Rattus norvegicus: one gene and its partners. Each later gene encodes a partner of the first gene's protein in a complex. Links are inferred from orthologs where the notes say so. Each region holds a gene or a part of one and is shown on either strand. Other genes may lie near its edges.

What was found.
Region 2: the proteins of Eed (region 1) and Ezh1 are in contact, whole or in part, in a cryo-EM structure (PDB 7KTP), measured with the Homo sapiens proteins. The link is inferred for Rattus norvegicus from reciprocal best matches to the Homo sapiens genes EED and EZH1. Residues at the interface, in NP_003788.2 of Homo sapiens: Cys84, Val85, Asn86, Ser87, Leu88, Lys89, Glu90, Asp91, Trp103, His104, Ser105, Lys106, Glu107, Val112, Arg120, Leu123, Tyr124, Gln129, Gly130, Glu131, Ile132, Arg133, Leu134, Leu135, Gln136, Ser137, Tyr138, Val139, Asp140, Tyr154; in NP_001982.2 of Homo sapiens: Gly37, Ala38, Lys39, Leu41, Tyr42, Val43, Asn45, Phe46, Lys48, Val49, Gln50, Lys52, Thr53, Gln54, Leu56, Asn57, Glu59, Trp60, Leu63, Arg64, Val65, Gln66, Pro67, Val68, Gln69, Ser70, Met71, Cys83, Thr84, Ile85.
Region 3: the proteins of Eed (region 1) and Jarid2 are in contact, whole or in part, in a cryo-EM structure (PDB 6C23), measured with the Homo sapiens proteins. The link is inferred for Rattus norvegicus from reciprocal best matches to the Homo sapiens genes EED and JARID2. Residues at the interface, in NP_003788.2 of Homo sapiens: Pro95, Phe97, Tyr148, Arg306, Asn307, Tyr308, Cys324, Asp362, Ile363, Trp364, Tyr365, Arg414, Asp430; in NP_004964.2 of Homo sapiens: Pro109, Gln114, Arg115, Lys116, Phe117.

Annotation. Positions count from the first base shown.
Region 1 is NC_086019.1:153,304,584-153,308,918, reverse strand, and holds the start of Eed (polycomb protein EED), read left to right. Parts: upstream 1-1,418; 5' UTR 1,419-1,841; coding exon 1,842-1,955; intron 1,956-2,004; exon of another isoform or gene 2,005-2,283; coding exon of another isoform or gene 2,284-2,292; intron 2,293-4,335. UniProt on the Homo sapiens protein: Polycomb group (PcG) protein. Component of the PRC2/EED-EZH2 complex, which methylates 'Lys-9' and 'Lys-27' of histone H3, leading to transcriptional repression of the affected target gene.
Region 2 is NC_086028.1:86,628,464-86,631,337, forward strand, and holds part of Ezh1 (histone-lysine N-methyltransferase EZH1), read right to left. Parts: intron 2,575-2,874; coding exon 2,396-2,574; intron 1,868-2,395; coding exon 1,772-1,867; intron 1,429-1,771; coding exon 1,347-1,428; intron 636-1,346; coding exon 555-635; intron 137-554; coding exon 52-136; intron 1-51.
Region 3 is NC_086035.1:19,990,892-19,994,540, forward strand, and holds part of Jarid2 (jumonji and AT-rich interaction domain containing 2), read right to left. Parts: intron 3,043-3,649; coding exon 2,928-3,042; intron 399-2,927; coding exon 293-398; intron 1-292.

The DNA of each region.
Region 1 (4,335 bases):
CACAAATTTGTTACTTGTCTATCAAGATTGTACCTGAGGGGGCTAGTGAGATGGCTCAGTGGTTAAGATCACTGGCTACTCTCTTTTAGAGGACCCACAGGGTGGCTTACAGCTGTTAGTAACTCTAGTCCCAGGGATCCAACATCCTCTTCTGACTTTGTATACCAGGCACAAATGTGAGGCACAGACAGACATACAAGTGAAACACTCTTCATATACATTAAAAAAAAATCTACAAGTGAAAAATTAAAGAATTTTAATATGATACAGGCAAATACAGTCACTCAACTAACAATTTACTTACACACACACACACACACATATATATATGTGTATATATATATGTGTATGTATATATATATATATATGTATATATATATATGCCTTTTACCTAAGTCTCACAAACTCAAGCAGTTGCTCACAATGATTTATAGGTCTTGTCAGTTTCCTAGAGCCTCAGTTTTCAACAGCTAAAAACATTTCGAATATAAATCATGGCAATTCAGAACCATGTAATTTTTACTTATTTTTGGAAACAAGGGTCTATAATGAAGCCCAGGCTGAACCAGAACTACTTGTGTAGACCAAACTGCCCTCTAACACACTGAAATCCACCTACCTTTGCCACCCTAGTGCTGGAATAAAAGGCACGCGACCCCATACCCTGTTTGATCCATACAAGTTTAAGACTTTTCTCAAACAGGTTTTTAATAAGATAGCCTTTGATTGGCTCGGACTTTCTTTTGCAGACCGGGATGATCTAAAGATTGAGGCGATCGGGCAGTACCTCTGTTGTTGCCTTTCAGATGTTGGATTACTGGAATGTATCATGCATCACAAAGTATTTTTACTTAAATCTAAAAATGTAATTTAAAATATAGGTTTACTTAAGCCAATAGTGGCACCAACCGGTTGAATATAACCACTCGTTGTACTAAGTATTTATTAGATAAAACATCTGCCCAGAACGTAGGCGTGTCCGTAGGCACTGATTTGGTACGGTTTTGAAATTCTCCCCAAGGTTTCAGAAACCGGTGGAAGGACTACCTGGTTCAGCAAATAAGAACGGAGAAGAGGAGGGGCCAGAGGAGGACGGTCTCCGTAACCCAGCGCGAGAATACGCCTCAGCGCATGCGCACCTCCAGATTGGAACCTTCCATTTGCCAGATGGGGGAGGCGAGCAGAAAACTGCCTATAGATTTTAAATCTCTACCTTCAAGAAAGAGTCTAGGTTATGCGTTCCGTGAACACTATCTCTCGGTTGTTCTTCCAAACCCCGCATCAGGGACTCTAGACACGGACACCTAAAACAAGAGGTGACTTCTCGTTTCTCCCCCCTCCCTCTGGGGCAGTGGTGGTCTGATCCAGGCCACAGACTTTCGCTCGTTTGCAGCGGGTCGGAGATCGAAGGTTTGAGCCAATTGCGGACGAAACGTCTGGGCAAGGAAGGGGGTGAGGGAGCAGCCCTTTGAGTTCCGCCTCCTCTCTAGGCGCTGGTGGGGAAGGGGGACTAGGAAACCCTGCCCTCTGAGCCAGCAGGTCCGACGCCTCGGTGCAAAGTGCCGAGAGGGCGGCGGGAAAACCGCCCGCCGGGACCAGGGGACGGGAAGCAGCCAGGAAGCCGTACGGGAGGGCGCGCGCGCGCGCGCCCCTTTTTCAGCAGTGTGGCGGGGTCGCACGCACGCCCGCCTCGGCGGCTGGGCGCGATTTGCGACAGTGGGGGGAGCGGCGGCGGTGGCGGTGCCGGCAGCTTTGCGGCAGGCTCCGGCCGGGCGTGCTTGACGGCGGTGTGGCGGAGGCCCCGCCCGAGGCGGCAAGAACCTGGAGGGAGGCGGAGGAATATGTCTGAGAGGGAAGTGTCGACTGCGCCGGCGGGAACAGACATGCCGGCGGCCAAGAAGCAGAAGTTGAGCAGCGACGAGAACAGCAACCCGGACCTCTCGGGAGACGAGAATGTGAGTGCAGCCCCGCCTGTCCGGGACTGTGGAGTAGAAGTTTCAGGTTCTTTGGTAACTGCGGTCGGGGCGGGCGGGCTGCCGTGGGGGGAGGGAAAGGTGTCACCCCGCGCTTGGGAGAACGCAGGCGTGCGGGGAAATCCAGTTTGTCTGGGGCATTCGAGGTGGAACTGCGACTGATAGCAAGCAGAAAGTTGGCGAGGAGCGGATTAAAGGTCCTGAAGGTCTGCGAGGTCCGCTCAGATCATCCCTGCGTGGGAGAGGGAGTTTGTTCCTTTGGGGGACTTGACGGTGATTGCGAATCTGAGATTGTACTAGTTTAAAAGGCATGCTGGAGGTAAGAGATTCCGTTTTCCCAGAAAAGTTGGTAGGAGGGGTCCTCCTAAGGATTTGAGGGGTTGTGTCACTGTAAAGCACTACGGAATCTTAAGGATGGAAAGTATATAGATCTCTGGCTTGAGTTTATGTGACCGTGTGGTTATGTGTGCCCTTTTCCGTGGAAGTGCGGTGTTGTGGTCCTTAGTGTCGACTTTTCTGTAGTAGGAGCAGGATCGAGAAGATAGTGGAGGGGGAGCCACCTTTGATTAAGGCAAGTGAGGGAACAATTTGAAAGTTTTTGCTTAATGTAAAGGGATTGGGAGATTTCAGGCCACTGTGGTAAAGTCTGTATTTGAGCCAAGTGTGAAGATTAAGTGAAGTCATAGTGCTTAGAGAAATGCTGCCCCGTAAAAAATAATATGCAAGCGTTGTGAAAAGTACTAGACACGTGTTCTAATAATTACTTATATTATGATAGGGTAGGCTTTGGCCTTTCGCATAATTACTCAGAATTTAATGAAAATGTCAAATTTATTTATAATGAGGAAATTTGTCAGGGGAAAAAAATTAAATGGAAGTTCATTTTATTTTCCTAGACTCCTAAAGTACATTTTTTGATGGTTTCTAAAGCTTTCTGAGACCGAATGATTGGGTTAGCTTTGGTCCCTTCTAAAAGGGGCAAGACTGAACGTTTTGGTATGTGTGTCTTTGACAGATTATTGAACCCTTTGGGGTCCTCTCAGAATGAAAGGGTTCTTGTTTGTTTGTTTGAGTTAGAATCTCCCAGTGCAACACAGGCCCACCCTCACACCTGATAACCTTCTTACTTTACTCTCAGTACCTAGAATACATTCGTTCACCACCATGTCCTGCAGAATACTGTGGATATATAGATGAAGCATATAAGATTACAAACCAGACCAAGTGTAAAACTTTAAAATATATTTAACTTTTTAAAAAGGCCAGAGGCATAAAAGCTCATTTGTAAAGCACATGCCTGACATATAGGAGGCCCCAGGTTCTGTTCTCATCAAAAGATGTACTTCCCCCCTGTTGTATTTTATTTTATTTTATTTTTTAAGTTTTGTGACAGGGTCTCACTTTGTACTCTTGGCTAGCCTGGAATTCAGAGATCAGCATGCCCCTGCCCACTAAATGTTGTATCAAAGATTCGAGGCACAGCAACTGGTTCCCCATTTAGATGGAGTAATATATGTATTAACACAGTAAATTGCAGGTTCTGATTGATAGAAGTGATAGGCTGATTTTTCACGACCCACAACAATTGTGATACAAGATAGACTTTTAACTGGAAAATCCAAAATCTGAACTTTTTGCATATAAGAAGAAACAGATAAATGTGATTTTTCTTTTTTTAAATCAGGATCCTGTTATTCCCATGCTGGCTAAGATCCTTCTGCCTCTGCCTCCCAATTGCTGGGGAAACAGATGCCTGGCTGAAAATGATTTCAATTTAGGAGTCCAATTTAAGCACAGTTTAAATTTCCATTAAAAGCTAATTGTACATTTACATCAAATTGCAGTTCAGTCACTTGTTAGTCACCTGCTTTGTGTCAGGTACTTCATTCCTTGGTTTTTTTGTTGGTTGGTTTTTTGTTTCGGAGTCTCATAGGCTGGCCTCAAACTCATGGCTATTCCCCTGCCTCAGCATTCCAAGTACTGGGATTGTAGGAGTGAGACACTATGACTAGCTTCATATCTATTTGGTGTTATGTTCTAGAATATTGTATTTTCTTAAAAGACATTTTATTTTTGACCAAGGTGAAGTTTGAAAAAGAACTAATGTTTTCTAAATGAATTAGTGGCTTTTAAATATCTTTTGACACGTCTATTTATTTTTAACCTATTTATTTTTTGTAATACAAAACCAACTTTAGGAAGCCGTAACTTAAGATCACAAAAGCAGTGCAGACTTCATGGGCTTTCGCTCTAACAGCTGTTAGACAAAATGGTTCCTCTGGAATGGATTTAGGGACTACTATTGCCCCAGGGTAATAGATGGAAGTTTTTGTATTCCAAAGAAGACTTAAGTATGGTTCTG
Region 2 (2,874 bases), on another chromosome or scaffold:
AGCCCCAAAACAGTTCCAACAGTCACTCTGCATCCTTCCCAACCACCTCACCTATAATCAAAGAAGAGCTCTTCGCCAGCCTGAATTGCTCTCTTGGCAAAGATCCCAATGCGGTGATCTCCATTCACCATGACCACTGCAGAGAGGAGAGGACAAGCCTAGGCTAGCTTCCAAGCCTTCCTACTTAGTGACAGGGCAAGCCTGCATTCAGAATACTGGGCTGGTTTCTCCAAATTCCCAAGAGGATCAAATGGAAATAGAATGTAGTCAAGAAGGCAGGCACTTATCTCTCTGCTTTTGACTCTGCTATTCCAACAGTGAGTTTGGGGAAATGGTGACCTTTTGAATCATGGTTATAAGAATGCGTTTTTACTGTAGTCAGTGGAAAACGCCAAGTAAGAAAGGAGAGGCCTAAAATGATGGCAGCCAGGCCACCAAGAATCTCCTTGGAAAATGGTTAACACAGCCTTGAAAGTTGAATGACAGCTAAACATCACAGGCTGTGAGGAGTTCACTCAGCCCGCCCGCTCCCTAGGCTCTGAAGACTCACTCACCTTTGGCATAACAGTTGGGGTTCACTGAATGGTTTGCAAAGCGAATTTTGTTTCCTTTCCGGGTAGCATCCACTACAAAATCTACATGACATAAATCAAAGAAAATCATGAGTGTCCCAGGAATCTCTATACTTGGGGAGTGAGGGGGGTGTATACAAGGTCTAGCTCTGTGGCCCAGGATGGCCTAGAACTTACTGTAACCCTCATGCCTTAGCCTCCCCAGTGCTACGATCACATGTATGTACCACTGTGATCAAAACAGGCAAAAATATGCCTGTTTTTGTTTGTTGTTGAAGACAGGATCCCCTGTGTCTCAGGCTGGCCTCACATCTGTGGTAGTTCTCTTGTTGTAGCCTGCAAATGCTGGGATTAGACATGAAAAATGTGCCTAGTTTCAACCCCCCACTTCTTTAGTTCTAGTTTAGATCAGTTAAGTGGTAACAGAAACAATGTAGTCTAATGGGAGTGTGAAGCCCAGAATAGTTAAAGGAGATGGGAAAAGCAGAGCCTGCCTCCTCAGGTGGGGGCATCCCCTGTGGGTCCTCCGTCTGAATTTTAGACCTCCTCCCATCTACTGGTTGGGGTAGCATCTCAAGTGGAAGTGTCCACTGTTCCCACTCCAAGCAGAACTCAGAAATGAAGCATATCCAATGAGGCCTCAGAGCTCAGCTTAGCATTCTGTTAGAAAAATCTGTTGACAGACTCAGTGTGGTTTAAACCTGGATCACAGCAAAGGTTGCTTAGTGTAAAGACTTGCACATGATCACCCTGGTACAGAAGGCCATGCCATACCATTGTTGAGGTTGAAGAGGAAGCTGGACATATATTTATCATAGACCTTCCCTCGTCGATCAGCCTCATCCTGAGAGATGAGCTGGAGGAGCAAACAAGGAAGAAGAGGGTGTCATGCCCGCTCGAGGTATGACACTGTAGGAACCGGGAAGGGGCAGTGCTGGAGAGCAAGACCCTGCTAGCCCCATCCCTACCCAGAGCTGATCAGGGTGAAGGCTAGAGAGAGTCAGACACCAACACTTGACAAACAGTGGTTTGTTTCAGGATTGCAAACAGTTCTGTGGGATTCCCTGTGAGGCCACATGAAAACTGGGCTGAGTTATTTAGAGACTAATTAATTCACAGAAGCCTCAGCCACAGAAAGTCAGAGAGTTTCTTGTCAGTATCTTCCCAGTAAGAACACGGGCTCAACCTGGAACACTCACCTCACCACAGTATTCAGAAATGAATTCGTTCTTCTGCACAGACTCCTTGATGAAGGTGCCCCATCCGGCCACATCGGAAGGGGCCAGCAGCAGGTGCTGGGGGAGAGGGAGGCAAGCCTTAGATGGCAGGCGGGTTGAGTGGGTGTGGGTACTTTATGTGCACGTGTGTGATGGGGGCAGGTGGAAAGAATTACCAACTGTCAGGGGAACCTGAAAACAGAAAAGGTCCAAACCATTTCACGCTTGAGGGGGTAAGAAAAACTGGAAATGGTAAGGAAATAGGATACTTTCTTCCTCTTCCTTGGGGACCTCTGGGGCTGAGTCTGGGCTACACTGTAATGTAGGCAGTAGCACGGGCTACACTGGGCCTGAAGGCAGAGGCTGGAGGTAAAGGGCTCGTCTCCCATGTGTAGAGACCTGGACTTCAATCCAACACCAAAGGGGAACAGAATGGTGCGTACTCCTTTGCTCCGTTTCGTAGAATGGAAAATTAGATTAATTCGACCACTGGCAAAATCTGTCAAGCACTTTTACATACAACCCCTCCGAGGAGCCAAAGGAACAACGACATCTGGGGACATTTCTTCTTTCCCACTATGATCTTGACCCAAGAAAAGACCTCACCTTTTTGAGGCCACGCTGGATGCTGCAGTTTTTGCAAGACACCACCTTACAGTCCCAGTGCTCTGAGGCCCCGCAGGTGAGGCACAAGTCAGGGTCACACTCACGAACGGCCAAGTAGCAAGGACACTGCTTGGTATTGCACTGAGTCTTACAGCGACAACCAGGGAAGCGGTTCTGGCCTGAGTGAGGAGATGGGGTGGTTAGGAAGCCCGCACTGACACAGGTCAGACTCGGGGACAGCAGAGTAGTGAATGTGACACGGCCAACCAAGGACTCGGCACAACAGGCAGAAGGCTCCTTCTCTTGAACATCTGGCTTTCCCCTTAGACAAGGAAGTGTCTCTTTCAGGGCTCAGGACATGGCTCAGTTGGTAAAGTACTCACCATGTAAACAGGAAGAATTGAATTTGATCCACAGAACCCATATACAAAAATCAGGCATGGGAGCACCTTGTGCTTAGAACCCCAGTGCAGGGAGGG
Region 3 (3,649 bases), on another chromosome or scaffold:
CTGTATGGCACAGGACACCAGCCAAGGTTATGTGAAAGTTCAGTTGATGGGGGGACTGCTTAACCAACCAGATTATTATAATCCTTCAGAAAATATCAAGACAATCATGATAGCCTAATGCTGACATCAATTCTCTAGCAAGGCAGAGGCCATGGTGAGCACACAGCTTCCTCCTTAGGCCCGTAAATAAAGCCTTTTGGAGCACATCCAGGCCCAATCCAGCATTGTCAGGAGCTGACAACAGAATCCCTTTCAGTCCCTAAACCATTGAGTAGGCAAGTAACAGACCTACCATTACATTGCTCTCCAGCATCTGCAGCCCTGGGGTACCATTGCCCTGCAACAGGGTGTGGACCACATCTTCCAGCTTGTTCTCCTCCTCAGCAGGAATGCAATACCTGGGGTGTTGGAAACACGAGAGCCCCTTGGTGAGTCCTCTGTGGAGCAGCTGGGCTGGAGAGCTGGCTGGCCCAGTGCCCTGCCCTGCTGCTGTTGGCTGCTTCTGCCCAGCACACAGCCAAGCCACAGGCACAGCCTTCTACACACTACTCACTTTCCATCTGCCCCACAGAGTGAGCCAAAAGTCCAAACCAAAACCAGATAGTGAAGTCCTCTATAAATCAGAAACAGACACAACTGCACGCTCCCTCATCCTGGGTGAGTTCTGATGCTGCCAAGAATGGCCTAGTTCTCAAGTATAGGAACAAGATTTGATGCTGTTCATGATGGGAAAACATAGTACCTAGAGGTCCTACTACTACGAACCTACTTACTGGTCAGGGGGACACACCAACCACATAACCAGCCAAAGCCGCAACTGTTAGAAAAGTGGGGATGTCCTCAAAGACTTGGGGACTTTTGCTGTCTCTACTGATGTCAGAACCCAGCCTCTGTTAGAACGACACTCAAGAGACAGAGGGTAGAAGCCTACATGGGAGAGCTGTGGGTCTGTGACAGACAGACAGACAGACAGCACCTTATGAAGACAGGAAGGAGGCTAGAGTGGGAGAAAAAGCTGGAAATGTGGTGATTTAGTCAAGGGGACAATCTAGATAGACCTCACTCACTCATGACATTCTCTCGATACCTCAGGTAGCCTGCCACCAAAAAAGTATCAACTACAGCACATGACTATCTGGGTTACTTTACATGGTTAGAGCAACAGTCTGGTGAAGGACAGCCTACTTGTGACTGACAGAGAGCCAGGCACCGGGCAGGGCCAGCAGTCTAAATGGGCAAATGGTTGTCACATACACTGGGGTCTTAAAAGGACCTGAGGCTGCTGAAGCCAGAGCCCCTTATCAATACTGTGATCACGGGAACAAAGACAAAGCTGCCAGGCCCCCTTACTCAGTTCCATACCTACACAGCACCTTATATAAGCTTGGCAAACAACAGCTCCAATATTCAGCCATGTATCATGCAATTTATCTCTGTGGCAAATCTTGGTTTCAGAAGGTACCAGGCACATTTTACCCAAATATTTATATCAAAGCCAATATGTACCACTACTGACTCGTGACTGAAATAGCAAGTAAAAACCAATCATATCTCTGGCTCTGCTTTCTTTTATGTCATTATGACCCCAGGGATAGGACTCATCCACACACTCTCAAGTTTCAACTCCTCCAACGACACATTCAAGCTACAAAAACAAACCTGCATTCACACTCACTGGACAATTTTATGTCATTCTGACACAAGCTAAGTCATCGGAGAAAAGGGAACCTCAAGAAAATGCCCCTATAAGATCCAGCTGTAGGCAAGTCTACAAGAAATTTTAATAATTACTGATTAATGGGGGAGGGCCCAACCCATTGTAGGTCAGGCTACCCCTATAAGAAGAAAGAAGAATGACCAAGCCAGTAAGCAATACCTCTCCACAGCCTCTACATCAGCTCCAGCCTCTGGGTTCCAGTTTTCGTTTGAGGTCCTGTCCTGACTTCCTTTGCTGACGGACAGTGATATAGAAGCATCAGACAAATAAAATAACTCCTTTCTTTCCTCCTCGGCTTGCTTTTGGAACTGTAGGGGAATCCTCACAGCAATGGAAACCCTGCTTATAACGCTCACATCTTCACATGCCTGGCCACAGGTCAGTGCCAACCACCAGAGCATCTGCACGAGGCAGGAACTTGACCATGTCACAAGAACATGTGTGGCACATTCCACAGCTGCCATCTGCCTTTGCCTCACGACCACTGTGATCTGGTTCCACATGGCAGCCTACACCACAGCCTCAGCCCAGCAGGTCCCTCCCACTGTATCTCCTGAGCTCACACTCAGCACACAGCACTCCATCAGGTCATGAGCAGACTACACCACAGTAGCAGGCTGCTGCCACATGGGCTCCTGGGGAAATGTCATTTGAAGATTCTATTTAAGAAAGAATATTTCATCATCCCTCTGGGCCAATAAGCAGAGTTAAGGTAGAGGACCATGAGATCGGCAGGCTGCGAGACTATGAGATGATAGGACATCCTATGATATGCAGTCAACCCCCATCTGCAGCTGTCAACACAGAAACCAGAGAGCTCAGCCATGAGTAGAGGTCCAACAAAGAGAAGATACTGTGTCACACACCTCATGAGGACAGTTTCTGACCAGCATCACATGGGTACACTAGCTCTGGAGGTCTTGCAAACAAAGGCCCACTCAGGTAAAGCCACCCAGACCAGTCTCCCCCATGGCGCTGTTTATGAGTGCTGTTATGAAATCACTGTAAGAACTCCATAAAATATAATGGGTGGGGGGAGGGGTGAGAATGCAGAGTAAGCAGGCAATTCACCAGACAGCAGCCTCTAACATGAGAAGCACTAGTGAAAGCCCAGTCACTGGCTAGGGATAAAACACATCTCTTCTCCCTACAGGAGCATTGCCCCTCACAGCTCCCTGAGGCTGCTGTACCTGCTGCTGGGCGTACTCACCAAATGCAGTCAGCACCAGTGTGTAAGTAGTCGATATATGGAAGGTGATTTTGGTCTCGAGACCAGCATGAGGTAGAAAAGACCATGCCAATATTTAGCCAGGGAATAGTCACTCCTACAACATAAAGAGAGGTCATTTAGAGCAACAGTCCTTCAGAGTGACAGCAATTATGAGGGATTCTGCCTCTCCCAGATATAACGCAGTAAGAGAAAGCTGCCTGCTCTTCCCCACTTGCAACAGATGGTCTTATATTCGGGCTGAGTATTTGTGGACACTTAAGTGGAGAATGAGTGTGCAAAGTTCCAGGGGAAGAGAGGCCTGGCTTAAGGGCTGCTGCCCACAGTGAGCAAGGTGGGATCTATGGTTCCTAGACAGGGGAGGGGGGGGTGTGTCTCTCAGGCTTCCCTTTCCAGGCCCAATGAATTCATAACAAGCAGAACCCCCATGGGGTGGCTTTGCCTAAATCAGAAGCAGCTTTCACTTCTCAGAACACCTATGGTGGCTGCTAGCAAAACCAGCCTTTAGGAGTCAGAATTCAGACTGGAAAGCTGTGTCCATACACTGAACGAGACTCCTCAGCCACGTGGGCATCCTCCAAAAGTCAAAAGGTCAATGCTTGTACTCGGTGCCCAAGGCCCCAGGCCTCTCTGTAGTGGGCCAGCCCGGCTTTGTCCTCATGAAAGCTGGAAGACAAGTGTGAGGTTTAATAAGGTCATGCTTA